Linked DNA regions of Nothobranchius furzeri. The protein of the gene in region 3 purifies or fractionates together with the protein of the main gene of each other region. This does not show direct contact. Links are inferred from orthologs where the notes say so. Each region holds a gene or a part of one and is shown on either strand. Other genes may lie near its edges. The genes, in order: tbc1d32, cdk20, foxj1b and rfx3.

Region 1 (7,285 bases), on a different chromosome or scaffold from region 3:
TGCTGACAATTGCCCTCCAACTATGCCGTTTTCTATTCATTTGCAGATGAAGGAAATGATGTCCTCCTGCTGAACCCATCGCTAGACCAGTGGTGTCCAGCTCTGGTCCTTCAGAAGCCCTACCTTCCAATCAGCTGTTGGATCAGGTGCGTTAGAGCAAGAAAAACTCTAAAGTACTCCAAACTCTGCAGGATGAGTTTCTGCCCTAGTTTTTAATTTTCATTTATACCTGGCATCACCTATAAACCAGACATTAAAATCCATCAGAGAGCGCGAGAGAGAGCGAAAACCATCATTGATTAATGTAAAGTATAGGAATACATTAATCAAAAACTTTGGATTTTAACAAATGAGATGATTTTATGATGAGAAAGATAAACTTTATTCAGAGAGTAAGAGTCTCGTCTTCTGCATGAGACCTTGGGGTTCCAGCAAACGTAAGGGAGCTAGGGGAAGGACTTATAATGGCTCCCTTATTAGATAACAAGGTCACTGAGCTGTAGCTTTCTGGTCTGGAGACCAGACAGACAGGATGTGTGACGCAGATTGTGCCTGCAAGTTTTTGGTCATTTTGAAGAAATACTTGACCTTTTGGTACGCTACATATTATTATCATCAAATATGAAATAAGCATCCAACATTTTTATTGGAAGGTTAAGTTTCTTCATGGTTTTAGTGTTTTCAGCAGCTGAGTCTGGTTCGTGCTTTGTCACATTTCTGAAATAAGATTCAAACAAACCAGGCCAACATGTTATTTATCTTATTGCATTGATCATTTAGTTTTTAAAGCTGTTAATTTAAAAGCAATCATTTAAATATATTTATATAACCTGTCTGTTAAACAGATGGTTGATTAGCAAAGATACTCCTGCCCTTAACAGTGAGTCTAATATTTACCTAAACATAAACACGTTAGCATAAGAATGTCTCCTTTTACTTTACACTACTCATGTGGTCCAGACTAAAACATGGTGGTTTGACGTGGCCTCTGGGTCAGTGGAGGACATAAAACCTTCATTGTAACTGTGGTTGGATTCACACCAACTGTAACAAGTCATTTCCCCTTTAAAATGTTAATTTAGGTGAAATATAGATGCACCCCCAGGGAGACGGGATGAATGAAGCAGAAGAACAGAAACCACATCGTCTGGGTGAAAAATTTCACTTGATTCCTTTGCAGGCAGAACCGTTGGAGCCAGGGAGGCGCGATGAAGCTACAGCTCGTTAGAGAAACTTTAGATAAAGACTCAAACAGATGTTTTCAACGTTAATGCCACAGACCCCTTAAGTTCAGACTTATTTTACTACAATTAGACTATATCAAGTAGATAATTGTTCTTGTCTGATGGAGTCTTCCTGAAACATCCAGGTTGTTTACTGTAACAGGCCCCCACTGTTAGTGTGACAGGAACAGCAACACCCAAAAGGAGATAAGAAGTAAAACTAATTATTCCAGAGCTAATCTTTATTAAAGCCTGATTAGTCACCTTCCCAGCTAAAATGTCCCGTAATCCCAGCAGAACTTCCCACAGTAATAAAGGGAAAGCCATAATGTCCATTTTTGTAGTGCGTGGAAAAGCTATCATCAGGTACCTGGAACACGGCTGTTTCCATGAACGCATTCTACTTTATAGTGAATAACAGCTAATAAATAACCAACAACAAATATCTTTAATCTGATGCCAGTCAAACTAATTTAGTGAAAAACCATCATGTCACTGTTTAAATAAGCCTACTCGGCTCATGGTGGAGGTAAATGGGTCCTGATGCTGCAGCAGGTGGTGTCTGGGTGGAGCACAGAGAGTAAGGCACGGTGGGAAGGTGAATAAAGCTCCTTTGTGTCGATGTAAAAACTACAGAACTCTGTTAGAGACAGCCTCACACACATTAAACCTTACAAGATGTTTGTTCTCAGTGGAACATCCTGGTACTTATAGGGTAGGACTGTCCCATGTTACCAAGGCAACATGAAGGCGAGACAGTTTTCCACAGGAGAACACATCTCAACGCACCAGATCTGAGATCAGCAGACTTCTGCAAAAAAAGTTATTGATCTGTTTTGTTGCAGGACGGTGGCCCAGGAGGGCCACAGTAAAGTCCTTCACCTTCACAGATCAAGTCATAGGCCTATCAATGGAGCACAGATAAGTTGATATGATTACCTGCACACATGAACCAGGAAGTACAGAATATGTTCCTCCATCAGTCTCTGTTATTCTTTTAAATTATGCTTCATTAAGTCACTTAAAAATAGTTTTGTTTTTGTTGTTGCAGCAGAAATTCTGAGGTCAAATCTGACTCATCTGGATTTTCCATCATTTCTGCATCAGAACAAGTTCAAACTTCTAAACTACAAGCAGAATTCTTACACGTTTTTTTTCCCAGTTTCATGCACTTTAGATGTTTTTAACTAATCAGGTTGTAATGTAAAAGTCAAAACTGGTATTAAAGACTGTAGACCAGGCCTGGAGGGCCAATATCCAGCAGGTGGTTCCACCGCTGGAGCAGAGAACATGTGGATACCGGCCCTCTAGGTACTGAAATCTTTAAATGACCAAGATGTGGGGGAAAAAAAAAAAGTTTCAGCTTGTAGTTTAAAATGTTTGAGATCAGTTTAACTCATTCTGATCAAAGAATAATCAAAACCAGACTCCCATCCTCAGGATTTTAGCTGCTACAACAGACACACCACCGCTAGCAACTCCAGTGTGATTAATAATACTGAAGTTAAACATCAATGTATCTGTGCTCCATTAATAAGCCTGTGACCATCTGAGGAGCTGAGGTCAACAGATGAACTCTAAGCACCAGGTGATGAAGCTAGTGTTAGCCTTTCCTCTGAGGACTGAGCTGTTAGCTGCAAAGATGATGTCATGATGCATCAATAAACTCCTCCTACATCCATGCTCCTTCATGTTTTTGTCTCAGATCCAGAGAAGAACTTGTGAATGAAAGTTAGGCATACCTGCTCCTATGGTTTCTTCATCTAAGACCTCCTCCTGGTGGAATCATTTTACCATCTACAAGTTTGGATTTATTGTGGATTTTCTCTAATTGACAGTAAAAACAAAACAGATCAACCTGAACAGAACGTAGAGCAGTGGTGCCCCACCCTGGTCCTCTACAGGGGCTGTGCACCAACACCCCTGATTTAACCCTCCCACTGTCCTAATGGGTGACCCCGTGAGGAAAGTTGACCATTGAGCAGGGTTGATGGTTTATCCCTTGAGGTCCATGTGGCAGGGGTGAGGTGGTGCTCACTCCTCACCCCTGCCACATGGACCTCAAGGGGTAAACCCTCAACCCTGTTCAATGGTCAACTTTCCTCGCGGGGGAGGGTTAAATAAAAGTAGAGAAACCTTCTGGAGAGAGGACCAGGGCGGGGCACCACTGACCTTTAATTCAAGAAGATTCACCATAATTTCAGTAAATCTAATAGATGAATGCAGCTTCTTGTCCCACAGGAGTAACCCTGTAGGACAATCCAGTTAAACATCTCACTCACATAAAACCATGCCGGACTGAGGCTGACCTTCAGGAAGACCTGCAGCTCCTGTGACTGAGTGTGCTGCAGGATGTCTGGCTGCAGGTGTTTGAGCACGGCCACGCACAGGTAAACCTGGTAATCTGGACCCATCAGCACACAGGTACAGATGTAGTGGCAGATCTCTGTCCAGTCCAGGTAGTTCCAGAAGCACTGAGTCAGCCAGTGGAGGCACATCTGGGATCAGATAAAAGTTGTTAAGACCTTCAGAACTATTCACACCGTGTGATGTTGGAGAATAAACACCAGCAGTCAGTGATATTGAGCTGGGATTAGGGGACACAAACAATATTTGCTTCTGCCTCTAATGACCAAAAATCTGAGTGAAAAGAGCCAGAACTGCAGAGAGGAATCACTGACTTTAGGACATTTGTCCAACTCTGATCCAAAGATGGAGCTCAGATCACCACAACACCACCGAGGTTCACGCCCAAACAAACAAAACAGCTCCTGCTTCTACTTAATTAGCCAGCCAGCTCACACACTCGCATCACTCGCGCTCCATAAACACGTTAAATCATCAGCAGCCTCTGTAGCTGAGCTCTAATGAAAATCCTGACATCCTAATTTGTGTTGTCATAAAAACAGGAAACGACTGACTCCGTGCTGCTGACAAACAACACGCCCGTTTGATGGGACCGACCTTTTGGTCTCCCATTCAGGAGCCAATAATAATATTGGACCAGGTCAGCTCATAACATACAGAATGTGTTCTGGAGCATCTCTGGGAACACGTTTCAGGTACCGAACCAACAAACTCATTCTAAAACCAGTTTAAATCTGAGACAACCTGTTAGATAAAAACTGATACTAACAGTATTGAACTGATATTAATGCCTTGACTGTTAAATATCTGGTGTCTTTTTAAACGTAGCTTCATCAATTCATTTTACTCGGTTGATAGATAACAGGCCCCCGCAGGTCTTACAGGGAGGAGTAGGTTTTAGGAGGATGACCTAGCCTTGGAACCGACCTTTATCAGTAAAACTCCCTTGAGAAAGTCCAGGAACTGCTTTGTTGATTTAGGGTGCACCTGGAGAAAGCTTAGTCTCCCTTTTTTACAGCTTTCTGCCTGAGAGTCTAAGAAATGTCAAAATGTGTGTGTGTCAATCTTTTGTGTGTGTGTGTGCTTAATAAATGCTTTCGAAGGACTCTGTCTGATGAGAGTGAAATGGCGACCGTTGTCTGGTGTGTATCTTTTCCTCTCCACTTTGCAAAGTCTAAATTGATTGTTTATGAATTGGTATTGGTGTTGATCGATTGATTACTATAACCCCCTAAGGGAATCCTGGATTAATAAAATTACCCAACATAACTGATTAGACTGAGGAGGATCCAGAGTACCCCGAGAACACTTGAAGACCTCAGCAGCAACAAATGTTACAATAAATCAGATTTATAATCCACGTGACATATTAGCATGACACCTGGGCCCTCATTTATCAAACGTTCGTTGAAACTGTCCTATATTCCCTCCTACGACCGACATTTAGAATGTGTACGAACGGTCAAAAGACTGATTTATGAAACGCACGTTCCTCCACAATCGTCTGAAATCCCACCCGTGCGTACCCAGGTGCTCGTATCGTTCTGTCAGAAACACCCTCAATTGACCATATTTGGTCACGCTACGTCGTCAGCTCGTGAGGGAATCAAAAATATGAAAGCTTTTATTGACAGCGAGATTGAAACAGTGGCTGCCAAAGCACAAAAGAACTAAGATGCAGAGGTTCCCGTCAGAATTACAATTTTAAAGATGGATTTGTTTCGTCGGGCTCTGTTTGGAGTTAGTTTTATTTGTTAATGTCCGAGACTGAAGCCTCTTCACAGTGGCCATTTAGTCTGGTTACCTTGGCAACGGAGAACAGAAGAGCTTCTGGGGGTTCCCTGGATCCACATTCGTGCTCCACAAATAGTCCTGAACCCCAGCAGAGCAGAAGGATTTGCTTTGAGATCAGTGCGCTCGTGGAGAACACGTTCTGATAAATCCTCAAATAACACAGAACAGCCCAGATATGATGTCAGACTCCCGTCGGTCACAGGTGTCTTATTGGTTTTTCCACCGACGTAACTACATACTGGGTAAATATAATCTGTGGGTGACTGAGACCTCCAGTACTGCTGTTCCCCTGTTCTACCACTAGAGGCTGTTCCTACGCACGGTCAGACATGTTCACGCACACATACAAACCGGTAAATACCACACAACGCGTTAAATTGTTCCCACGCACGAAATAAGCACAGATCTGCTTGTAAGTAAGGTTGATAAATGAGGGCCCAGGTCACAATTCAATGATTCTGATCATCCATCTTCATTAAATAAACAAGCAGGAGGTGTTAACTGAACACCTAGACTGTAAAATATAACTGTTATGTTTTTAAACATGTGCAAGAGTTGAACCGTGGCTAAAAGGTCAAGAGCAGTCAGCTCTCACCTGAGTCCCTACAGGAGGAAGAACAACTAATCCTGTCACTTCTCAGCCCAGATGGCTCCATGTGTATCTCCTACACCATCTGACCCACAGCGGAGGCTCCACTCGCCCGTGGCGACTCTCACTTCACAGTCCTGACTTGTAAATTGAGGAGAGACCCGCTGAGAGAAACTCTGAGCCTCTCAGAGAGACCTGATTGAAATGTGGATCCTGTTGGTGGATAATGTGATAAACTCTACAGCAGACACCTCTACTGCACGTTTATCCTGTAATGAAAACTCCAAACGCCTGCAAAAACCTCAGAGCTCCACAAAGACCTCCAACCTGAGTGGGAGGAGCCAGGAAGTCATCCTACAAGGACAAAACAACACGGCAAGCATCCAGGGTTTGGAGGAACTGTTAAATATCAGAGGCAGGGAAACAGTCCTGTCGCTATAATAAAGGTTTTTAATTGGCTAATGAAGTTTGAAGTCCTTAACCCAAACTCCATAAGTCCTCCAGGTGTTGTTCAGGAGGAGGTGAGCTGCTGCTCTGTCAGATAAAACATCTGACTGTGTCGCTGAGCCCTAGAGACGGCAGGTTAACCCCGTACGTTGTAGAATGTCGACACAGGATCAAAACACAAAAGCTTCGAGGTGAAGAGCCTCATCTAAGAGGAGTGAAGATCAAAAAGAAATGACTTTGTAAAAACTACTTTTTAGTCTTTTTTCCAACATCAGATCTGGTTAGTCTTCATTTTACATTTCTGGGTCATAACAACAAAGTATTTCTGTAAAGATTTTAGTCTCTTCCTGACATCAAAGTAGATGTTTTCATGGGCACTTCTACCTGAGTAAAACGTATTTAAGTACTGCTACTTTTACTAGCGTATAGCCTCAGCCTACTCTGCCCAGTCAGCTACATTCATTAGAGGCGTTTCTTTTACGGTGAGATTCTGATGGGCTGTTACAGGTTCTGGGAGGTTCTGATTAGATGACTTCACTATAAAAAAAACTTCTTCAGAAGGAAAGTTCTCCAACCATGAACCCTGGAGGGAGTGGAGGTCCAGACGTTACCTGTGAGGGAGTGAATCCAGACATCCTGAAGGCAGAATGGACCAGAGGGACCTCGGCTTTCAGCAGCATCTCCACATAGTGAGCAGTGGACCAGTAAACCGGACCCATCCCTGATTCAGCCACTTCCTGAGGAAACTGGACCTGTCACAAAATGAAGACTGACTTAGAGGAAACATCTGGAGTTGGTGCTCACAACCTGAGCTACTTCATACGTCGTTATTGGCTTTTTCTCATAACACCTGATGATTCTTCAT
Region 2 (8,019 bases), on a different chromosome or scaffold from region 3:
GAGCTGAATGACTGACAGCTGAGATCTTCCAACCAGGGAGAGCGATCCAGGAGCGGCAAGCTGGTATCAGCTGGCAGCTGGCAGCGAGACTGGAGGAGTGATTCTGAAGGGGCGGAGCCAACCTGGAAGAGAGACCAGAAACACAAACCTGATGCAGCAGGTTTCCTGTTTGCTTCAGAATAAAATGGATTTTAGGTTCCACTGACGTTCGAGCCTGAATAACATTTTAGACATTTTTTAAACAGAAATATTGTTTATTGTGGGGAAATGCAGCAGATGGAGGTAAAGAACTCCACAAAAGGTAAAAGACAAACAGGAGAACAAGACAGCTGAGGCCTCCACAGAGAAAGGAGCGTCCGCCGCTCTCCAGAAGATCCCAGGCTCTTCAGCAGATCCTGCTCTGTCCAGTTCATGTTTGGTTAAAACAACATCAGCAGAACAAAGTATGTTTTAGACTCTGACCTTTGCAATGAAACCCGATGATGTTTCACACCCGGTGTCCAGAAAAGTTGTGGACCAGTCAGCTGCCAGGGAATAGTCGGCCATGTTCCCGTTGATCCGAGAAGACGGAGCGAGAGCCCTCTCTGACGTCTGAGGAGCTTTCAGAGGAAACTCAGATCTGCTCAGGGTTCGAGGTTTTTCCCCTGAATGAAGACGAGTCTGCTCTGGGGAAGGGGTTGGGGGTCACCAGGAGGAAGAGGAGGGGCATCAGGAGAAGGAGGGGTAGTCTGGCTCCTCCCACAAACCCTTAGCCCACGTTTTCAGGTTTTTTATGATCCGAATCAGCTCTTTGTTACAAGATCGGTTTTACTACAGAAACAAGGAAGATCTGGATCAGAACCAAAGGAACGAGGAGCTGAAGTTCTGTTGTTCTGATGATTAGAGATCAGGTGAGGAGATCCACCACCTGTTCCTCCTCCTCACTGAGAGGAGCTCCCAGATCAGACCCAGAACACACGCATGTGTAAACAGACAGGAAGAACAAGAAACGGCAATAAAATTTTCCAGGTCTTAAATAGAAATGTTTATTCTTCTTCTTCACTTCGGTTAAATGCAAAAGTTCAGACTCGTCTGTTTCAGAGACAGGAGGCGTGAGGCTGCAGCAGCAAAGGGTCCACCACGCTCTTCTGCAGGGGCATGTCTAAAGAGAAATCAGTGGGCGGAGCCTGATGACGCTGGCGAGGGGGGTGGCCCCCCCTGTGAGGAATGGGAAGCTCCGAGTGGTGAGCAGGAAGAGGAGGGGTGAAGAAATATGGATGAAGAAGAGCCTGCAGGGGGAGGAGCCAAACATCACCATCAGTTACTGATCAGGTACACCTGTCCCTTTGCTACGTCCTCTGCACGAGTCCTACCTGTTTGGCGGAACAGCGCTGTCTGGACGGGTACACCAGGAACCTGTACAGCAGGTCGATGGCCTGAGGGGGCGTGTCTGGAACAATCTCCTCCAATGGGATGGCTGGATTCTCCTTGAAGGTGATTTTATTGTAATCTGGAAGCTCAGCGATCTCCTGCAGATGGAGAACAAAAACCCGGTTCTAGTCTCACCTGGCAGCTGACGCCGTTAGAGCCAACCAACAAAAGTGCAGCTTGTCTACATCGTATCTGGTATGGTGGACCCTGAGCCAACGGACGATGGGAGCCTGCAGACCTGGTTCTGTTGGGAGTAACTGTTATATGGGACATGTCTTACAGGCCAGCTGTCCCGGGTCGGCGTTCCCAGAACTCTGAGGACGCAACACAGCTGCTCGATGTCGTTTTCTCCAGGAAACAGAGGAGACGAGTTCAGCAGCTCCCCGAAAATACACCCGACAGCCCTGAAACACAGAGAGGCGTGAGCGCTGCCCTCTGCTGCTCAGCTCACAGCACTGTCACTGTGGACTCAGCCCCTGAGCAAGGCAGCAATAGCACCAGCAGCAGGGTTTCACTCTCACCACAGATCCACTCCTTCATCGTACTTCCGGGCTCCGTAGAGCAGCTCAGGAGCTCGGTACCACCTGAAAACACACACACACACACACACACACACACACACACATACACACACACACACACACACACACACACACACACACACACACACACACATACACACACACACACACACACACAAGACAAAACAATTTTTTTCTCTATTTCCTGCAGATCAAAAATTTTAATTTTCATCTTCAATCAACAAATTTTTTGTGTGACCGAGCTGTGAAAAAGGGGCGGAGCTTGTGCTTACCTGGTGGCCACCTGGTGGCTGTAAAGCCTCTCGCCTTGATCGCTGAACAGCCTGGCGAGACCGAAATCGGCGATCTTTAGGTGACCCGAGGAGCTGATGAGCAGGTTAGCTGGCTTCAGGTCCTACACACACACACACACACACACACACACACACACACACACACACACACACACCAGAACCAGAATCACAAACCCTTATGGGCCGTGGACTGTGTGTGTGTGTGTGTGTGTGTGTGTGTGTGTGTGTGTGTGTGTGTGTGTGTGTGTGTGTGTGTGTGTGTGTGTGTGTGTGTGTGCGTGTGTGTGAGCAGTGCACTCACCCGGTGCATGATGTTATTGCGATGCAGGAAGGCCACGCCCTTTAGCAGCATCATCATGTACCCCTTGACCTGTGCCGGGGTCAGAGGTCGCTGGTGGTTCCTGATGACCTCAGAGAGGTCCGACAGCATGAAGTCAAAGACCAGAACAAAGCCCGTCCCGTGGGGAAAGACGTCCTTCAGCTTCACAACCTGGAAGAGTTCAGGACAACGTTCCCAAAAGGAAGATTGAATCATTCCCAACAAAACATCTGCAGGTTTTTTTTATCAAAGCAGCTGAAGCTGAGCACCGAGGGTCCACCAGGTGTGGTGCTGTAATGGAACCAGATTTCTGCTCAGACTTAAAACCAACAGCAGATCTGGGCAACCAGGCACTTACCAGCCCCCCAGATCTCTGTGATGCTCCTCCTCGTCTCCTCAGAAGGAGGAATAGAGAACGTAAAATCATGGAAATCTGTTAATTTGGCAAATAGCTTTGTGAGGAATGGCCTGCAGATCAGGTGGATTCAGGACTGTGGTTCTGACACCATCACGAACACCAGTTTGTGGCATTTCAGTAGCATCAGGTCTGACACCTCGCTGTCCTCTGAACTGGGCAGAAGCAGCTGGAGGGACACTCACATACTGGTTGTCCTCAATCTCCTGCAGGGCCTTGATCTCCCTCAGAGCCTGGTTCGGGATGCCGTCTTCCAGCCTCCTCAGAGCCACTTTCTTCAGAGCCACCGTCTCTCCTGTCTGAGAGAAAAGGCACAAGACGAACATTCTGAGGAGGAACTGCTCTGCACCTGGAACCAGACCCAGAGGCTGGATCTTTTGCTATCGGTACCTCAATGTGTTTGGCCTTGAACACAATGCCGTGAGCTCCTTCTCCGATCCGACCCTGGATGCTGTACTGCTCCATGTCTGGGACAAGAACCTGATCCGGTCTGCTGATTTCTGCAGGAAGACCAATTTTTCATCTGATTCCACATTAAAACTTCAAGCTGTAACATTAAACTAAATAAGATATAGGTGACCTCTTTTTGAGAAAGAAAACACCTCCCAGAGCTTCTTTTACCTCCTCCAGCTGACCGACAGGAGCCAGAATTCAGACCGGAAACAAAGCTCCGTGTACAAAAGACGCCGTTTACGATTTTGCGCGTTTCAGTTCAATAAAACACCAACGTTTCTGAAATATTACGGAACGATAACTGAAATAAAGGTCGTAAGTTTTATTCGGGTTCTGAGATTATACATAAATCAGCTCGATTTCAATTGGATCCGAATTTTACAGAGGATGCTAACTCGTGTTGCCATGGTAACGTCACCACTAAGCTAAGTTAGCTCCTATGGCTTAATGAAACCGTCGAAATAATTTCAATTCGAGCAGAAATGTTTCCTGATAGTCGTTCAAGCCTGAAAGCGCGGCGAGGAGATCCGGTTTTCGGGCCTGAAACGTTTGAAAACGTTTTGTTTCAGACAAGAGCTGCGTTAGCTACGGTCACGTGACAACGGAAGTCACGACACAGATCCAAATCAGCTAGAAAAGACTCACATGTCAGTCAGAAGTGAAAATTAAATAAATAAATTATATATATATATATATATATATATATATAAATATATATGTATGGGGTTATGACATGAATGTGTATATAGGTTTTATGGGTTTTACAAATGTGTAATTTGGATGTGTTTTTAGAATTTAGAGATTTTAGTGCCGGCTGCTTCACAATGCTGTCTCGAATTGCCCCTCGGGGACTAATAAAGTTGTCTTGAGTCTTGATATATATATATATATATATATATATATATATATATATATATATATATAATCAGTCTGGAGCGTCTTCGTCTAATGCATCTATCTGTTTTATGTCTACATGCTTTATTTTGAAAATTTGGGGGCACTCAATGATTTAGTTCCGGTGTAAAGAATTATTTACATGCTAGCTTGGCATGCTAGCTGTGCTAACGGCACGTTTTTGTGTCCGAAACGGTTAATTTACATTGAGCAGAAATTCATCTGAACTGAATTAATCCGCATGAAGTTATTATTGTTGTTATTAATCTGAAAAGCTGCATGGAGGAACCTGTCGCTGAAAACGTGGACCGGAAGGTTCTGCAGTACGAAACGTTCATCAACGAGGTTCTGAAGAGAGATTTACGGTACGATTTAACTCGTATAGTTGATTTAGTTTCTCAGCTCTGCTCCTCTGTTTGGTTTTGAATTCTGAGTAGTTTCACAGATCCTGGTTTAGTTAGGGCAGGGTTGGTAGCTCTAGCTTGAAGCAGGTAAATAAAAGTTGGTGCTGGGTTCTGATGAATCTAAGCAGTTTCCGGTTAAGTTTTGATGCGATGTTTATGTCTCTACAGACACGATCATTATAGTACAGGTTAAGTTCTTTAAACGTAAATCATAAAGTTGTATTAAACACATTTGTGACAATCACTATGACCAGTGACTGGTACCTGGTTACCATGGCAGCCCCCCAGAGGGCGGGGTCTATCCGGCTAGAGAAGTTGACGCTTCATCTGAGCGACCAGAACAAAAGTCAAACTGCGGTGGTGAGTCCACAGAGTCGGATGATGTTCTGGTCTGTGGAATCAGAACCAACCAAAAAGATCCAGTGAAGGAGAACCAGAGAGTGGGTCCTGGAGAACCACGGATCCCTGGTGTGGTTCTTATCCAATAGAACAGTCAGAAAATGATTGCAAACTCATTTCAAATACTCTATTTTGACACCTCACACACACACACACACACACACACACACACACACACTGATGAAGGTGTTCTGTTTGACAGGAAGGTGTTGGAGCAGAGAGACCAGGTTTATGAGAAGATCTCCCAGTACCTGCAGCTGAAGAACACGATCCAGAGTCTGCAGGTAGTGTGTGTGTGTGTGTGTGTGTGTGTGTGTGCGTGCGTGCGTGTGTGTGTGTGTGTGTATGTGTGTGTGTGTGTGTGAGAGAGAGAGAGAGAGAGAGATTTTAAGGAGGGAGGCATCACTCTGGGAGGATCATAGGGCCTCCTCTAGGATTTTTTTCAGTTGTTTGAAATATTTTCAGCTAACATCCGCCATGTTTTAATCTCTGGAAACCTTTTAACTGCTGATGAAAATCCAGCGGAGCTGTGTGTTCTGGATCAGGAGTTCTGTTCAGGCCCGATCCAACAACAGACCAGTAACCTGAGCTCTTTAGGCCTCGTGCTGTCAATCAGAAACGCCTGTTTGTTTGTGATAGAATTTTGTGTGTGTGTATATATTTATATATGTTTATATCATGATGATGACGTTGCGGTTATGTCACTCCGTGTTCTTGCAGGAGGCGGAGTCCCAGCAGCTGAAGACAGACGTCGATCTGGGCTGCAGCTTCTATGTTCAGGCTCAAGTGTGAGTGTCTGTCTCTCTAGAGTGTCCAGCTCCTCCCTCCACAGACATTTAACCTCTTTTAGATGTTTGGTTCTGGTTCTGAGCAGTTTGGTTGTGTTTGGTCCCGGTTCTGACCCGTTGTTCCCCTCCTTTGGACAGAGACGACTCGTCCAGGATCTTCGTGGCGGTCGGTTTCGGGTTCTTCGTGGAAATGACCCACGATGAAGCTCTGCAGTTCATCACCAAGAAGACGAGTCAGCTGACAGTGTGAGCTCTGTGTTGCCGTGACAACACAAACTTTTTGTCACACGTCTCATTTTTGTCGAGCTGAGATCTAGTTCTAAATAAAGTTGAGGGAGTTTGAACGAGTGCTGTGTTAGCTCAATGTTCGGAACCAAAGATGCTAACCATGCTAACGCTTGTTTTGCAGCTTCACAGAGCAACTCACTAAAGACGCCGCCAAAATAAAAGCCAACATCCGCATGGTCCTTGAGGTCAGTTATTATGTCTATGATCTGAAGCTCTTTAATATTTGATTTGAGTTTTTCTGCTGAGTGTTTGATCTTCTATAAGTCAAAGCGAGTCAGAGACTCGGTAAGATCTGAAGTAGAGCCGGTCCGGTAGCGTCGAGGTGAGTTGGTGCTGATGGAGAGGGACGTTCTCCTCTAAAATCAGATGTGTTCATCGTGGAACCACGGAGAACCCTGATCCTCCAGATGAGGTGTCTGATTGGCTGCTATCTTCTTCCTCTGCCTTCAGGGTTTGCGGGAGCTGCAGGGACTCACCGACCTTCCCGAGAGCCAAAGAAGAGACGTCTTCTAGACTTTTCCTGGTTCTGGGCAGCAGGTGCTGCTGGGGCTGGACCTCCGGGGGAGGAGGAAACTCCTCTTCCTGGGAGGAGCTTTGTGGACAGCAGGACGAAGGTCTCCTCAGATGTTTGAAGAACATCACAGCAGTCATGAGTCTTTCCTGATTAAAATACTAAACTGAAGTTCATGTATTTTCATTTTTTCATTCATATTTTATTAATAATGAGGTTTTTAGTTTGGATTTGTTTTATTTATGTCAAACTTTAGTTTTTGTGTATATTTTTTATTGGATGTAGTTCTACTTTAGTTCTTTCTGGGATTTATTGTAATAAAATAATATCATATATTTTAGGCTTAAATGGGTAAAAGTTGTTGGTTGTTTATTTGCCAACATTTCATTTCCTGATGAATAAAATCATTCACACATTCTTCTTATAATAAATAATATTTTTAGACCTAAAAAGTGTTATTTGTCTTTTTGAACAAGCTGATTTAGATTTAAAGTGAACTTTTTTTGTTATTTTTAAGATCTTTTCCCGGTGTTATGGTTTATTTGTCTCTCAAAACCAAATATAAACTTTTGAAAGGAATTTGTCGGAATGTTCCTGAGGAACGCTGAGACGTTTAGCGGGTTTGTTGCGTTGGAAGAACGGGAACGTGCTCGAAGAGTCATGCGTGACCAGCACGTGTTAGCTCTGTGAGGCTGACGGGTGGTCAGCTGCACGAGCTCGTCAGCTTTCACGACCTTCATCCGGTGTGATGAATATCAGCTGCTCGCACAGAAGCTCGACGACGCAGAGCCTGTTTCCATGACAACGAGCTGCCGAATAGAGGTGCTGAGAGACTCTTGAAACTGAATCAGAGAAAGAAAGGAGCATCTTTTGTGTTCAGTTTGCTGCTCGGATCCAGAATCCAGCTTTTATTTCCCTGAAACACAGAAACACGTCTGGGAATGAGTCCTTTTATTCTGATAAGTACCTCTACCTGCACAACAACAGCAGCAATGACTAATATTATTATTATTAATGTTATTTGTGATGATGTGTCTGACATTCATCAAGTTTGCTTCATCTTTGCTTATAGAGTTCATATCTTCCTGGTTTTGGAATTTTAAAAAGTCTGATTTTCTAAACTTTTCACTTGTTATTAATTTACTTTCATGTTATAAAATAATTTGAACGCTTGAAATTATAATGCTATTCCTTTCATAATAAAATGTCTTCTTTTACGGTCTTCATAAATATTTATTTTAGAGGTGTTTCGTTTGAGGGGGGATTATTTAATTGAATAATTTATTTATCCATTCATTTATTC
Region 3 (8,321 bases):
TCTCGCTAGATAGAAAATAAACATTTAGTATAAAAACAGTAACCAAGTTCAGAGAGACTGTGGGGGAAAAGAGAAGAGAGTTGGGAGAGCCAGGAGGGAGTTTAGCTTCCTAACGGCCTGATGGATAAAGCTGCCCTTCAGTCTGTTGGTCCTGGCCTTGAGACTCCGCAGTCTCCTCCCTGACGGCAGCAGCTCGAAGAGGCTTTGCATTGGGTGAGTGGGATCAGCCGCAATGCGAAGGGCCTTTTTTGTGAGGCGGGCACTGTAAATGTCTGGTATGGAGGGGAGAGAGACCCCAATGACCTTCTCTGTTGCTCTCACTATACGTTGGAGGGTTTTAATGCATGAAACGTTGCAGGCTCCGTACCACACAGTGATGCCGCACGACAGGATGCTCTCGATGGTGCCTCTGTAGAAAGTGTACAGGATGGGGGCTGGTGCTCTTGCTCTTCTTAGTTTGCGGAGGAAGAAGAGACGCTGCTGTGATTTCCTCGCCAATGCTATGGTGTTGTTCGTCCAGGAGAGATCCTCTGTAATGTGCACACCCAGGAACTTGGTGCTGCTCACTCTCTCCACAGACACACCGTTGATGGTCAGAGGAGCATGCTGAGTGTGTGCTCTCCTGAAGTCCACAACAATCTCCTTGGTCTTCACCACATTTAGAGAGAGGTTGTTGTCAGCACACCATGTGGTAAGGCGGCTCACCTCGGTCCTGTGTTCAGTCTCATCCCCGTTGTTTATGGGACCCACCACCGTTGTGTCATCCGCAAACTTGATGAAGAGGTTAGAGCTGTGCAATGGTGTACAGTCGTGGGTCAGCAGAGTAAAGAGGAGGGGGCTCAGCACACATCCCTGGGGGGCCCCCGTGTTTGAAATGATGGTGCTGGATGTGTTTCTGCCGACCCGTACTGCTTGTGGTCTTCCAGTGAGGAAGTCCAACAGCCAGTTACACAGTGAGGTGTTGAGACCCAGCTGGACCAGTTTTTGAGTAAGCTGTTGGGGGATGATGGTGTTGAATGCTGAACTAAAGTCTATGAACAGCATCCGGACATGTGAGTCTTTTTTGTCCAGATGTGTGAGTGCTGAGTGGAGTGCAGTGGAGATGGCATCATCGGTCGAGCGGTTGGGCCGGTATGCAAACTGGAAGGGGTCCAGGCAGGGGGGCAGAACAGACTTGATGTGTTGCATGACTAACCGTTCGAAGCACTTCATAAGGATGGGAGTAAGTGCAACAGGACGGTAGCCATTAAAGCAGGAGGGAGATGATGTTTTTGGGAAAACATCATGAGCGAGCATCATACGACACTGAGCTAACACAGCCAGTATCATTGAAAAGGCTGTGCTGTTATTCTGTTTACAGTGAAAGTGGGTTAGAGTTAACGTCTTCATCATCATTTATCCGGCACCTTCCACCACCTTGAGCAGAAGATCAAGGTGCTGAACAGAACAATAAAAAGCAGTTGCATTACTAAACACAATAAAAGATCAAAAAATAAAACACAATGAAAACAGATAAAAACAACAACAATGAAACAATTACGTTCAAGACAAAATTGCCTGGATATAATAACGGGTCTTCAGACATGACTTCAAAATTTGGAAGGAAGAATCAGCTCTTTTAAACTTTGCTCTGTACTGCACGGGAAGCCAGTGGAGTTCCGCCAACGCCGATGTAATATGGCCAAAAATCTAGCAGCTGAATTCTGAACCAGCTAGGCGAGTAATCGCACCCTGACTCAGACCCACATACATTGCATTGCAGTAGTCGAGTCTGGACAGGACAAAGGCATGAATGACAGACTTTGAATGCAGCTTGTGTTTACGATTTGTAGTGGAGTGTGTACTGACATCTGATAAGACTGACCAGGATGTTTAGATCTGCTCAAAAGTGACCAACAGCAGCCTCCTTTTCCATTCAGCCCATGAACTAGTCACCCTTCTTCCTTCAGGCAGAAGACTTGAGTTTCTTCAAAACAGAAACATTTTGAATGCCATTTATCTGAGTTGATTTTAAAGCTTCACACCCATCTAGATTGAAAGTTGGTGTCATTTTGCTAGGATCTGTCCTCTTATTTGATGAAAAAAATAGTCAAATGAGGAAAACAAAACAGACATTTTGTAGGTTGTGGGACTGTTTCAGGACAAGAAGTCAGAAGATGATGAGTTTTTTAAAAAATTTTATTGTAGAAATAACCCCTCACCAGATTTCTGTTAGCGCTTGGACTCTGGTGCAGCTGCAGTGTGGTATTAAATCCACATGGTGGCACTGTTTTCCCGTGATTAGCAGCATTTGATTGAGGCTCTTTAACACACCACTAAGTCCAACAACTGGCCAATACATACTTGTTTGGTAAAGCTGAATTGACTCATTGTGGTAAATATGTTAACAAAAACTGATTGTAATCTTGCACGTACGAGTTCTGCAACAAATGCCCAATTTATTAGAAAAGAAAACCTTTAAATGTTGTTTGATTGGCGTACTTGCACATCATTCTAAAACAAACTCAAATTTAAGTGGGGTGGTTTCAAACGGATTTAACAGAACGCTGTTGCTTTTGAGTCCTTCTTGCTGCGCATGTTGGTCAGAATTCAGGCGAGTTTAACCTCAAAAACTTTTATGCTGTACAGCCTGAGTATATTTGTTGTGAACACGACTTCTGCCTAAATCGCGGCCCCTCTGTGAATTGAATGAGATTTAAAAAAAATGACGCATAAGCTTGCTCAGCTGTTTTTTGTTTGCAGACGCAGAGTGGGACATGTGGCGCGTCTTCTAGCGCCAGCTTTACGCGCGCCATGAGCTCATATTTCAGCCCGTTTCCAATCCGAATCACAGATATAAAAACAAAGAAGTAATTCGTACAAGAAAGCGCACCACCCTTGAAAGTTTAACATTTAGAAGTAAAACAAAGACAGGAGGATGGAGGTAATTAAAATAGAGTAGACAGCCACACACACACACACACACACACACACACACACACACACACACACACACACACACACACACACACACACACACACGCAGGAGATCCCCGTCGCATGAGTGCTCCTAAGTGTCTCCTTTCTTTTTCTTGTATTTAAACCCCCTCCTCTTCCATATGCGCTGGCTGCGCCTCGCCCTCCCCCCACCGCACTTGTTGCGCACAAACTAGATGCGCTGCTGAGTCCTTGGAGAGGAGAGACAGGGAAGAACAGCAACAGGTGTACACAGAGCATCTCCGCCAGCCACGCGCCAGGAGGAGAGCGTTACCGCGTCGCTTGTCGGGGGATGAATGCAAATGTATTATCTCTGGTGGTTTAACTGAAGTCAGAACGGTTGTTTAATTCATAAACTTTTATTTTCTGCTCTTTTTTTAAATTTAAATGTCAGTCTAAAGACCCTTCAAGGCTACAGCGCGTGCGTAAATTCCAGGATGCCAGTTTTGACGAGCCCAGATATAGCCAACAAGTTCAAAGAGAGGTGGCTCGCGGTGTTCCCGGAGGATCAGGTCTTGGACTCCGCTCCCCTGGACGACAGTCTCACCAGTCTCCACTGGCTCCAGAATTTCTCAATCATCAGCACGGACCCGGAGCGACCCAACGCCGCCGGACCCGGATGCCCTTCCTCGCTACAGCACCACTTCCTGAGACGTCTGGGCTTCCCCAGAACGGGCACTGACTCTCCTTCTAGCCCACCGGCCGGAGACACAGCCGCCAGCGGGATGTCTCTGCACCCCGGGAGCCCCTTCACGTCCGGTAGCGACTCCCAGCGGTTCCCGAACTGCGCGCACCCAACACCCGGCTATCCGCAGATCCCGCTCCAGACAAGCCCGCAGGTGGAAGTGGACTACAAAACTAACCCTAAAGTTAAACCACCGTACTCCTACGCCTCTCTCATATGCATGGCCATGCAGGCCAGCAAACAGCCTAAAGTGACTCTGTCCACCATCTACAACTGGATCACAGAGAATTTCTGCTACTACAGACACGCTGAGCCCAGCTGGCAGGTAACCGAGACCGGATACGTCCCTCTTTATAATTTATGAGGCTGATAATGCTGAGGTGAGGGAGGGAAGGCAGAGCAATTGACTCCAGTGTCACCATCACACACATCTTCCTTAAGCCAGGCAGAGTTACCCTAACAAAGATAAAATCAGGCTTCTGCCTCTGTCCAAGGCTTAGGCTTCACATTTGATCGGTTCTATCATTTAAAGTGACCCTCAGATCTCTTACCTGATGAACATGTGAACAGCCTCTGTTCAAAGAAACAGAGACAAGTTTTGATCTTTGAAAATCTAACAGCCTGTCACATTTGGTAGGTTATAATATTATTGCAGCCATGAAAAAAATCTTTAAAACGCTGGTTTATGCTGCCAGTGTCTTGGAAACCTTACACCATGACACTCAGTTATTTACATCACAGTATTTAGTTTTCACACCAGAGCATTCCTTGTCAGACTTTTACATTTCTGCCAGCATAATTGATAAGGATTGACAAGGGTTGATAAACGGACATGATGACGAGGTGAAAATGCCCTCACACAATTAAAGCTGTTTTAGGATGACATGTAACTGGATTCACTCTAACCCCATCGGGTCAGAATTAGACTCTTTATTCTCCAAGTTGAAGTTGTTGAAAAGGTATGTAGTTTTCTGAATAATCTTTCCATAGTTCAAAAGGTCGAACTAGCCCTTTAAATTCATATTCTTTACAAAATATGGCAGTTGGACAAAAGAATATATTTAAGAAACAATCATTTTAGTTGTTATTTGCAGAACTGTAGCTCACAGATGACAACACGGTCTAAAATACACAAAGTTTGGGTCAAAAGCATTTATGAGACGAAGTAATTGGCTCACATGGCATAATTTAGAGGTTATTAGCATTGGGTGGTAATTTTAAAGGAATGCATTAAAAGCTGTCATGTTTAGTCAAATCAGTCAGACAATAAAAGAAGGTGTGAACATTCATAAACTATGACTTGGCCAAACATTTACACATACATCCTCGTATTATTGCTAAATCTAAATAACTAGAGTCTATATTTAGATAGTTACATATAGCTGTTGAAATATGAAAACAGTTATTTTAAATAGAAAACATGTCAATTCAAACTGCAGTAAGTGTTTTCTCTGACTGCACCATCTAGAGGCTGAAAAATGGATCACAATTTCAGTTGGAAGCAACGCCCCTCATTCGTGGACACACACCTAGATGGCCAATAGAGCTAAAAACCCTTTTTTTTACAGTTATTATTCTCACATCATGCTGTTTAAATAATAACTATTCCATGAGAAAAGTAGTCAACTTTGACATATATGTAAGCGGATGTCTAACACTATTAGCTAATACTGAGCAGCGTAAATTCAAAATAGCATGGGGCTCTATGGGATGGGGACAAGCTTAGCAAAAAAAAAAAAAATATATATATATGACGAAATACAAAAAAACAAAAAAAAAACACACACACACAACAGTAAAAAGGGAGCCTGAGTCTCCTCCCTTTCCGGTCAGCTCACGGGTCCCTGGGAGAACGAAAAAAAGAATGCAAGTCAATGAGGCTAAAAACGCTATTTTCTAATCCGCTTTGCCCTACACCCTGGACCGCACATATGTTGAACTTAGATTTAAATGAAAAGTAACGATGGGTTTTTCGACCACGCCAGTCATGTACTTTGAGATATACCAGCTTGTAGAAGTTCGTAATTAGTATGACTACAAATTAGACATCGGCATGCTGCACAAATGACGTTACGACAGAATATCTTCTCCCCTAGCGTAGCTGCTACTTACCACATGGCCAGATTTGTGGTGGTTCTTTCTTCCTGAAGGAAGGATTGGAAGTTCACTAAACTTACGGCCATTTTCCCAGTTTTTCTCCGTGTCTGGTTCGATGACGTCACTTTCGTAAAGCGCATTTGTAGTCCTGGACTTATTTTCACACAAAACCTAAAATAACATTTCCCCCCATTGGAAAATAAGCGTGTTCTTGCTATCAAAATGTGTCTTTAAAATTCACAGACATCATATGTGAAATCCATGGAGCAAAACAAGCGGAATTAGAAAATAGCGTTTTTAGCCCCAATTCATTTTTTTGTTCTTCTGGGGACCCATGATGCGGTAGATGGGCATGACTTAGGCTCCCTTTAGGGCCGGATACATGACAGCATACCCCAGAAAAGTGCTTTGCCCTCTGTTGTCCTGGCAGGGAATTGCTTTGCAACACTCTCCAGGGGACGGGGAAGTCTGAGAGCAAAACGTCTGCATCAATGCATGTGCGTCTCTCCCTCGTGGAGCTGATGCAGAAGCCTAAACTAGGCTTAACCCAGCAGTTTCAGTGCGAGTTCTGATGTGTGTGTGTGTGTGTGTGTGTGTGTACATGTGTGTTAATGAGGGCTCCTGAGAGAGATGCAGCTAAGCACAGCTGATCGTGTTTGAAATGCACAGAGCTGCCTGTTACTAGAAAGCCTCATTAGGCACATTTGCTTTTCTATACAAACAACAACAATGCCCCCAACGCCCACTCTGCTGTCTCCCTGACAAATTGGCATTTTTAGTTCTCGCATGACTGCCTTGTTTTGTCCATGTTTAATCATCTCTTTTTCTTGTCTTGACACAGAACTCGATTCGTCACAACCTGTCCCTCAACAAGTGTTTCAAGAAGGTCCCCAGGCAGAAGGACGAGCCAGGGAAGGGAGGCTTCTGGCAGATTGATCCGCAGTATGCCGACATGTTTGTCAATGGCATCTTCAAACGTCGAAGGATGTCCGCTAACCAGTACAGCAACAGCAGTGCCTCCCAAAGACCAAATAAACTGGTTCCAAGTTACGACAGCATCCAAGACACCTGCTCTTTTCCGGGAGTGGGCAGCAAACGAAAGCATCTACCCTCTAAAAGCAACAAGCCAGTCAGAGCCACCGAGTCCCCTCTTCTAGTGATGGAAGCTAACAAAATGGACCTCCTCAAGGGGGACTTTGACTTGGCATCTGTGTTCGACGACGTTCTGAGCGGGAACTGCAGCACCTTTGAGGACTTAGACATCAACACGGCGCTCAGCTCCCTGGGCTGTGAGATGGAGGTTTCCATTCATGGGAGGCAGCACCCCGCGGGACTGGGGAGGTGGTGTGGAGCAGGTGATGTAATGAGTCCGAGCCAGCACATCAGCCACCATCAGTCCTACGGCTACCTGGACCTGAGTGCTGCTTCCATGGAGTGCTCGGTGAGCATGGGAGAGCTCCATGCATCCCAGCAGCATCCGCTGCTGAGGCAGCAGCAGCTGGACCAAGACCAGCCGCTCCAAGGTCAGCACCATCTGCAGCATTTTGACGAACCAACCTCTCTGTTCCCAGAGCAGTCAAGAGAGGCTGTGCTCCAGCCATGGGAGGAGATTAAAGAAGAAGCGCAGGCTATTCCTCTGACCCTGGATCAGGGATTTGGTCTGTATGAGGGCTTCTTCACGGAAATGCCGCCTTGGGAATAAGCAGAGAGTTATCTGTGACTTTGTCACATCAAACTACTGTGCGGACAGTCTTGTAGGAAAGAATAACACCACTACCAAAACTTCTAGTCCTTTACAATCACTCTGCAAGAGTCCACAACTTTTGAATGACACCGATCAGCTGTAACACGACGAGCATGGACCTGATTACTAGCAGGTCGTTGGGGGATCTACTGACTCATCAGGGTGTGAGGTCCTGCCACGCTTGTTACTGATACATTAACAACTTTTTGATGCTGTAGGTTGAGTGATGGGGTTTCTGCGTTCTCAGAGAGGCATCTATGGAGCTTCGAGGCTCCTTAAACACATCAAACTGTTGTCAGGCTGGTCGAGTTGTTCCTTATTTTGGCATGGGTGGGGGGATTGTCCTGTGATTTCTCTGCAACAATATCAGTAAGTTCACGAGGCCGGTATCTGACTGAAGTTCGTCTCAAACCCTTGCAAAGGATCAGTTTCCTCTGCATCGTGATGCTTACATTTTCAACATGTTCAAACAGTCATTTAAGGGGCTTCCCCCCCTCGGCACAATCAGTTTGTGTTTTTGTACGTAAAAAGTGAGAAACGAGAGAGAACTCTGTTAGGGGTTGGCGACCACATTGTTAAGGCCAATCTGGGGAAATCGTGAAAGAAACCGAGACAACCAAGATGCATTGGAACTAAATTTTGATTGTCCAAATGTTTTTACACAACCTGTTGCAAATATTTTTCATGTACCAGTTCAGTGTAATTGAAACTGAAAAACCCCGCATACTTTTCACGATAAGGTTGAACCAGTCTCAGCAACGTTGGAGGGAAGGATGCAGGTTGTAAACAGTTCTAAAAAGACAAGTCTCATTTGACCTG
Region 4 (8,253 bases), on a different chromosome or scaffold from region 3:
GTGCGTGCGTGCGTGCATGAGCGTTTATCACAGCTTGGGCCTGATTGTGTAGAACTCTGTTCCAGACCCAGGGGACCCTTTTATCACATCAACACTTAAAGAGCTGTCCTACTTCTGGTCATGTTCAGGTGACTGAATACAATAAAGGCATATGACTGCCAGGCCCTCAAAGAGAAAGGAAAAGCACAAAAGACAACTGTGCTCACTGTAAATCATGTGCTTGTGACATGAGTGGTCATGTGAGGCAACAGGCTGAGGAGATGTTGATGTTTGTGGAGCTGGCTAACAGACTGACTCACATGTTGCCGTTGGTGTAGACGCCACTGTTTTCCTCGACATACTGCACCTGTGCTGGGTAAACATGCTGAACCTGTTGAACAGTCTGGGCCTGAAAAAAGGGAAAAAACAAAACGGCTTGAAATTATTCCATTAACTTGCCAAAGCTACAGATGTGAGCAGAGAGGATTTGGATCCAAAGGTCACATAAAGGACCGGGACGTACCTGCTGCTGGACAGGCACCTGCTGGGTGGAGCCGGTAGGCTGGACAGGCACAGTGGTCTGAAGGGGGACAGTGGAGGTGGAGTCAGCGCCTGCTTCAGGGGTCTGCATGGCGCCTAAACAGAAAAAAAAAAGAAACACAGAGACTAAATATGATCCCAGTAACTAAAAAAGTCAGTGCAACTATTAACCTGCCAGGCTTAGTGGTGAATCATCTTTATTATCTCATATTAACCACAGCAGAAGCTCAGGCAGAAACCAAAACTGATGCTAAATCAAAAGCTGTTGACACATTTAAGCATTTATTGATCTGTCTTTCACCAGAAACTGCTGCTAACAAAATCCAAATAGTCTGATTTTATGTGACAAAAATCTCTACTTATTAAAGCCCTCATTCACATGTTTTCTTCAACGCGTTTGCTGTCTCTAGTATAAATGAATGCCTTGCGAGTCCATTTCTGTGGAAAAAATATATAGTGCTCCGGTTTAAAAATGACAAGTTAACCGGAGGAGAGGGGAGCAGAAAATGGCAGGATATGGAGTCTTATTCATTAATATTCTGACATCTCACCTCTGATTGGCTAGCAGCAACATGACTCTACCACTGCCTCTGTTTGCTCTGCAACGTTGATGTTTTATCTCCACAAACAACACAATCCCGAAGGAGTTCTGCCATGTTGTGGAGTTGCTAACGCTAACGGTTAGCTTCTACTAGCTGAGGCGTGCCATGCTTTCTCCTGGACACTTCCCCGTCGTGAGAGAAGATGGGCGAGTTTGTGAATGCTAATTCAGTGCAACTTAGATCTTCGTGGCTTTTCTAATCCATGCGATCCCCATCAGCAGCTAACACAGGATATTTGGGTAGAAGACTATTTTCATGTTAAGCTTGCATGTTAGAGTCAGAATGGCCAATCACATTTAAAAAATAACAAGGAAAAAAATGGTTTCTAAGTGAACTTGGTTTTTAATCAAATGCAAACTTGATGAATGAAATTCACATAACACACAACATCTTTGTCCAACTATCCACACTTTGGCTTGCTGTGGACAGATAAAGCAGCTAAAGGAGAGACTATTCTAGGGACAACAGGAAGTGCGAGGTGTCATCATAAACCTGTGTATGTTTTGCCCAAATCAATGCCACTAAAGCAGCTTTAGACCAACAGTACCTGAGCACCTGTTTCCACCCCGTGGCACTCGGTGTACCGAGAGCCTCATGCATCACTGACACACACTCTTGTCTCCACATTTGCTGCCATAAAACAAGTTAATATTTAACAAACTCTAAATAGATTCTCGTTTCTCTACCGGTCCTCTTGCTGTTGCTCTTTTAACAGAAGGCCCCGCAGCTGGAATTTAAATAAGTCCTCCAAAGAATTGCTTATCATTTTCTTTGATTTTTACAAAAATATTTAAGCAATATATAAACACAGAATATGTAAGATCCTGACCTAATGGAGCAAATTTGAAAAGAAAACGACAAGAGTGAGAGGAAAGACTTAACCTATATTTGTGAGTTAATAACAGTGTGGCTCCCATCACCCATTGCTTCCAGGGAAAGGCCAGCTCCTCCTCATCAGTTTCCATGAACAAGCCTCTCTTGGTTAATTAAGCTGGTGCTCCTTAGAGCTTCAAATCACTCCGGGGACGACGTGCCCCTTTCCATTACCTTCAAACTGTCCATTTTCCAGGCTATCACCTTATTCATGTTGGGGTAACTAAATCGAACCTGGCCACAATAGGGTCAACGCGACAACAAGAGGTGGGAAAAGATGGATTTTTTCCTTACACATTCCCGTTTTGGAAAGCAAATTAATTTAGTGTCCCAAAAGGCAACCCTCCGTCTTTTAAAGGAAAAATAAAACCACTAATATTCAGCACACATATTTGTATTTTCAAAAAAGTTTTTGCGTACCATGATATGCCTCATAATGAACCTGTAGCGCTCCATTTCCTTCATCCTGAGAAGTCTTACAGGAAGTGAAGAATGTGGAATATTCCGCGTGTATTCCACAAAGCAGTTAGCAAGCTAAAGCAAAGGGCCCCAACCGAGCCTACCTAATTGGGGAAAAGAACCCCCAGCATCACCTCAACCCCCCCTTCACAATGACAAACACACACACACACACACACACACACACACACACACACACACACACACACACACACACACACACACACACACACACACACACACACACACACACACACACACACACACACACACACACACACACACCATTCAGACGCTCCCTTGTGGCCCACTTAAACGCCGTGCTCCACTGAGCAAGTGTGAGCCCTACAAAGACACGAAGGAACAAAAGCCACCAAGGAGCGCAACACTGCACCCTGAGTTTTCTTCCTGCTAGCATACCAGGCCACACAATCCTGGAGCTCACGAGGCTCACAGCAGCCGCTAACGGAAACCACAGAACACTATAATTTTCCTCCGTAATGACAAAGTTGGACGTGTAATGTATAGAGTAAAGGCATACGCGAGAGTGAACAAGACTGATTGCGGTCGAGAGAAATTCTTTTCTTGTTCTTGGTGGTTTGATCAGGTGGCAGGAAAACAGGTGGAGGGAAATCTAATTGGGAGCTGAGGAGGTGGAGGGTATGCAAAGAACTGTGTTTGTGTAGGGGGAGAAGGAGGAGGGGGGGTGGTTACGATTACAAAGGAAAGAGGGACTGACTTCCATCGTGAGCACCAGTAATGCTGATTTCACAGTCAAAAACTTTGCATTTATAAAAGATCCCATGAGACTGTTGAACATCTCATCTGTTTATACAGGTGAAGCTAATGAAAAGTGTCAGAAATCACTGGTTACCACAGGCCTTCTGCTCATTTCAATAACCAGGAGTAGGAAGTGATAATAAAAAGAAGTAATCACCTTTAAAAAGACCATTATTTCATTAACATTACAGCAGGATGGCTGTGATAAATTACAAACCAAACATGCTGCTAAAGCCAGGAAAATGGCCGACAGAATAATTGAATTAATCAGCCCCTCTTTAAGTGATTGGAAATGCAACAGGATCCAGGTAGCAGGTGGCATGGTACTATTTCTGCCCTTCTGGACCACAGGTAAGTGGAAACCTGATCTGATAGCTGCCAGCTCCTAACATCCACTTTTGTGTGTGTGTGTGTGTGTGTGTGTGTGTGTGTGTGTGTGTGTGTGTGTGTGTGTGTGTGTGTGTGTGTGTGTGTGTGTGTGTGTGTGTGTGTGTGTGTGTGTGTGTGTGTGTGTGTGTGTGATCAAGATGACCTCATTTAGCTTGTACATGTGAACAGATCTAAATGATTTTAGTATATAACACCATAATGTGCTCAGATTATGCAGCTTTATGTTGATCCAGTGGAGATGATGTGCTGTGGCGCTGTTGGGTCCAGCTGGGTTGGATTCACAAATTATTATACAACACCTAAAACACTATAAGAAAAAAGGAATTATGAAGTTTACCTGTACCTTTTTTTTTTTACTGAACAATAACCTTTTGCTCTTGAAGATAAATCAGGACATCCTAAGTCCCCACCTACCCCTTCCCCTCACACACACACACACACACACACACACACACCTGCTTTCTTCCCAAATGGGATTCAGAGGTTGCAGGTGAACATGAGACCCAGTGGACCTAAGAATAAAATGTGATGCAACACAGAGAAACCAATTTTAAATGGAGCACCAACAGAATTAAAGCACCCCTAAATGCCGGGCTGTTATACTGTTGGGAAGAATAGGTATACAACAAATCTGCCTGACAGAAATTATGTTTAAAATTCCATAAAAAATTAAAAATCCACCTGTTAAGAAATCCTTTCTCCTTATACATATGTAAAATGAATAGGCAACCATTTAAACTAATTCTCTCATTAGGTCTGAACTTGTTTTAATAGTTTTAGAAAAAATGTCAATTTAACAAATCTTAAAAAGTAAATAACTCGACGGGGTGCAATGACGTTTACCAGCCCATTTCCAGGATGTGCCACTCAGAACCCTAAATGATTCCACTAAACACAACCTTTATCCAAATTGAAAATGTTAGCTCACTCAGAACTATTTTCTCCGAGCTGCAGAACTTAGTGTGGTGTTATCTGAAAGCTTATCACAGCCATCTGATGCCACAAAGAGGGCAGATGGAGAGCTAGCGAAGCTATCTTGTAGCAAAAGACAAAAGGGAAAGTAATGGCTTAGCTATTGTCAACCAGTGAGTGAGTGCAGGGCTAGCTTACGACACTTTCCATTTGCCAACAGCCGTACAGATTTTCTGTAACCGACCAGATTTCCTACACATCGAAACACAAACTTGCAACATCAGCGTTGACGTTGCCTCCCAAAAAAAACAGGATACCAACAGGCATTGTCAGGAGGCATCGCTGGCGTTAGCAACAACAGACACCTGCTCCAGCTGACCAGTTAGCAACGCTGACTAGCCGGCAGCTCTGCTACCACAGCGTGGAAAGTTAAAACTACAAAACATGTTCAATAATAGAAACACTTTTACAAGTCGTTTTAGCTCCGCAGCGTTCCTTATTTCCGTATAGCTTATCTCTGCTAGCAAAGCAGGAGCTCTTCTCATAACGAGTTCCCACAAGGAACCTTAGCAAAGCAGGCTAACACGTTACAAAGAAACACCCTCGCTAGAGCCTTCAACCCAGCAGCAGACAAAACACAAACCAGAAGCAAACCTCCCGCATAAACCCCTCTCATCTTGTCAGAGGAGAAAGCGCTTGCATTCGGGCTAAAAACAGCGAAGAGTTGAGCCAAACCTGAGCTGCGGACTGGTTGATGAAGATGAGGATGTTGGAGGAGGTGGTAATGATGGAGCCAGAGGTTGTTGTTGGTGGGTTACAGTCGCCAGGACTACGGTGACTATGGCGTTGCCTCACTGGGCAACAGTTGCTATAAAACTCATCTGCAGCGCTCAACCTTCTTACCAGGCAGGTGGGAGGAGATTTAGGCGCACATATTCATCTGAAGAAATATAATCAACCCGATTAAAAAAAAAAACTAAACATGTGTCCATGGCTGTCCGTTAACACCCGAAGTCACGGCTTTTTGGCCTGATCTAGTTTAGACTTTATAGAGACTTTAAAATTGTTTGGCGTAAAAAAAACCTAGAAAATCAAATCTTACAGAAGAGATTGTTGTGATTTGCCAATTATTAACAAAACAGTTTATTTAAATGGGTTTTAAACAAAAATCTTAATTTTATTGGGTGAATAATTTTGTTTTTAGTTTTCTTACTTTTATTATAGGGCATAAAAACTGTCTTATTCTGAGGACTGACAAGGTTACAAGTGTGTTTTGTTATTAGAGAACATGTAACCGTTGTAAGTATGTGATATAAATTGATAGTTTTGTAATTTACAAGGAAAAAATTGCCTCCACCGGGGCGGTGGGGTGGGGGGTTCCAAGGGGGGCCAGTGCCACCATGACAGAAAGTTTGGACCCCTGATGAGAGCAGAGCATAGGCATTAAAGGTCAACTTTACTCATAGCTTTAATACATTTGCAGTGGTCTACAGTAGGAATTAATGCCTTGCAATCAATTTTCTGGGAAAAAAGCTCTGGTGCGCCATTTTGAGGATGTAGAAGTCAGCTAGAGGAGAAAGTGGCAGGATATGGAGTCTTATTTCCTGATATTTGGATATCTTACCTATGACTGGCCAACAGAAACCTTATCTTTACTCAAGACAAAAATAGCATGATACAATCAGTAAACAGCATGAGGTGAACTGTATGAAACACAACTTAGCACAAAAATGCTCAGAGTCTGAACCAGGAAATGGCTGCAGGCATAAAGCTCTGGAACAACCAGTGACTTAGCCAATCAGCACCCAACAGTCGTGATGCTGGCCCAGGTCAGAGCACTTGGAACGTCAAGGAAGCAGTGACTTAATTCATGAACTGCCAGCCATTTTTTGATCAGAAAAGCCCTGCGCTGCCAGCGTTTTTCAGCGTTTTCAATGTTTTTTTAAGAGTTACAGAACATTGCGTGCTAGGATGATATCAACGCCAGAACTAACAAAAGAAAGAGTAGACTCACCTCTTACTCCACAAAGAATCTGCATGTTTCAAGCATTATCCATTCTTTCGTAATCCGTTGTCGAATTTTGATCGGCCTGCGACCTTCCGATTACTGGACAACTGACTCTACCTCTGGAGCTACTGCCGTTCCATTGAAACAGGTGGCAGCAGAGTTCTATTTTGTTTCAAACTTGTTCTATTTGGAGAAAAGGCCTGTGGGCACCTTATATGGTTCCTGGGGCACCAGGTTGGTGACCCCTGGTGTGGAACCTTCCCTGAGAATGGGGAACTCTTCCCCTAAAACAAGATTCTAACCAGTTCTCACCCTTCTTAATGTTTTTTTAACCCTCAGGAGGCATGGTGTTGCAAGTTTGCAACGTTAAAACCTACCTACCTGGTTACCCCACATACGTATTTCATCAGCATTTTTTAACTCAGAAGTACGCCTGAAGGACTTAGTTGTTGGTCCTTTTATCAAAACTTAATTTGAGCCTGAGAGGATTAATGTCCTGATATATTTGTTTTTATTGGATGTTTTACACAGTAAAATGGCTTTTATATATTTACAACTGAAGTGTTATTAAACTCTTTGAAGTGCTGAGTAGAAAGCATTAGTCAAGGCAATGCAATTATCTTTGAAAATCTAACATAAACCTAAATACATTCATACTTTAAATGCATCTTTTTTTGCAAATTAGATTTGATAATTGTCACCTACTGTTCTGTCTCAGTCAAGATCAGACTCTGCATTTTCCCTTCCTGTGTGACAGGATAACACAAAAGCACTCTGGGTGGATGAAAAGGAAGCAGAAATTGGTGGGATGTCACTTTAAGTAAAATCTGAGTGAATGATTGCCTGTCGTACACTACACTGTGTGTGAGCACCTAACCAGGAATGTGCACAAGGAAGACCCAGTATGTGTCATTCAGCACGGCTGATGATTTAATTGATACAGGTTGTCACTGTTCTCAATTGTTCCTCCATTTCTACCATAATTCGCAAAGACATTTGCCTTCATGGGCAATTCCGCTTTAGCATTGGAGGTTTTGTTTCTCAGCCTGCATCGTCTCATTTATTTAAAGCACACAGTTGGTGGATTCCCCTTAAAATGAAGTGTTCCCTTCAACTGTTTATTTCCATAAATACTGCAGCCCTAATTGAGTGACTTGGACCTGTGTGTGTGTGGCAATGACATTTAGTACAGAAAGTGTTGAATGTTCCTAAAAATATGCATGCAGGTGCTATAGGTTGAAATAATTTGCCACATGGCACAAGTAGATCAGAAAATACATGCAAGAACTTTAAGAGTGAGAACAGTGACCAAACAAAGGGAGTGTTGTTAAGTGGCCTCACACCGAGCGCAGAGCCTATCCAACCACCTGTGTCCGCTGCACAGTACTTTTTATTTTTTATTTGATTAGCAGTTACTAAACAGATGCTTTTTGGAAAAGCTGTTGTCGCTGTTGCTAGGCAACTGGTGAAATCCATCTGAAGCTGAACTCTCTGGTTAAAAGAAATCTTTTCAAGTGAAACGGTTTTTAGTTTTATATAAGTGGAGGGCTGGTGCCAACTTAAATTCTTTTATACGTGTAAAAAATAAAAAAGAGCAAAGTTGGCTAATTGTTTCTGGCACAACTAAGTTCAGCAGTTTAAACAATTTTATTTTCTTATTTTAGGTTTTATGAAGCTACTTTTCAAAGTCCCAGCTAAGCTTTAAAGGCG

The links.
Region 1: the proteins of foxj1b (region 3) and tbc1d32 purify together in Homo sapiens (affinity purification with mass spectrometry; 3 studies listed by BioGRID and IntAct, counting the BioPlex papers as one, with this or other methods). This does not show direct contact. The link is inferred for Nothobranchius furzeri from reciprocal best matches to the Homo sapiens genes FOXJ1 and TBC1D32.
Region 2: the proteins of foxj1b (region 3) and cdk20 purify together in Homo sapiens (affinity purification with mass spectrometry; 3 studies listed by BioGRID and IntAct, counting the BioPlex papers as one, with this or other methods). This does not show direct contact. The link is inferred for Nothobranchius furzeri from reciprocal best matches to the Homo sapiens genes FOXJ1 and CDK20.
Region 4: the proteins of foxj1b (region 3) and rfx3 purify together in Homo sapiens (affinity purification with mass spectrometry; 3 studies listed by BioGRID and IntAct, counting the BioPlex papers as one, with this or other methods). This does not show direct contact. The link is inferred for Nothobranchius furzeri from reciprocal best matches to the Homo sapiens genes FOXJ1 and RFX3.

Annotation. Positions count from the first base shown.
Region 1 is NC_091742.1:10,617,609-10,624,893, forward strand, and holds part of tbc1d32 (protein broad-minded), read right to left. Parts: intron 7,173-7,285; coding exon 7,032-7,172; intron 3,722-7,031; coding exon 3,506-3,721; intron 1-3,505.
Region 2 is NC_091755.1:47,131,704-47,139,722, forward strand, and holds cdk20 (cyclin-dependent kinase 20), read right to left. Parts: upstream 5,018-8,019; 5' UTR 4,995-5,017; intron 4,692-4,994; coding exon of another isoform or gene 4,606-4,691; exon of another isoform or gene 4,428-4,605; intron 4,066-4,427; exon of another isoform or gene 3,560-4,065; intron 3,480-3,559; 5' UTR 3,445-3,479; coding exon 3,370-3,444; intron 3,279-3,369; coding exon 3,165-3,278; intron 2,736-3,164; coding exon 2,547-2,735; intron 2,347-2,546; coding exon 2,225-2,346; intron 1,995-2,224; coding exon 1,932-1,994; intron 1,815-1,931; coding exon 1,691-1,814; intron 1,509-1,690; coding exon 1,353-1,508; intron 1,269-1,352; coding exon 1,077-1,268; 3' UTR 996-1,076; downstream 1-995. Other genes in the region: erythroid transcription factor, read right to left, coding at 1-122, 463-546; protein UXT, read left to right, coding at 4,606-4,691, 5,332-5,413, 5,850-5,917, 6,056-6,163, 6,327-6,390, 6,656-6,718. UniProt on the Homo sapiens protein: Required for high-level Shh responses in the developing neural tube.
Region 3 is NC_091756.1:26,390,133-26,398,453, reverse strand, and holds the start of foxj1b (forkhead box protein J1-B), read left to right. Parts: upstream 1-3,160; 5' UTR 3,161-3,413; coding exon 3,414-3,986; intron 3,987-6,599; coding exon 6,600-7,460; 3' UTR 7,461-8,321. UniProt on the Homo sapiens protein: Transcription factor specifically required for the formation of motile cilia. Acts by activating transcription of genes that mediate assembly of motile cilia, such as CFAP157.
Region 4 is NC_091746.1:53,262,738-53,270,990, reverse strand, and holds the start of rfx3 (transcription factor RFX3), read right to left. Parts: upstream 5,440-8,253; 5' UTR 5,271-5,439; intron 5,253-5,270; exon of another isoform or gene 2,415-5,252; intron 616-2,414; 5' UTR 611-615; coding exon 503-610; intron 389-502; coding exon 300-388; intron 1-299. UniProt on the Homo sapiens protein: Transcription factor required for ciliogenesis and islet cell differentiation during endocrine pancreas development. Essential for the differentiation of nodal monocilia and left-right asymmetry specification during embryogenesis.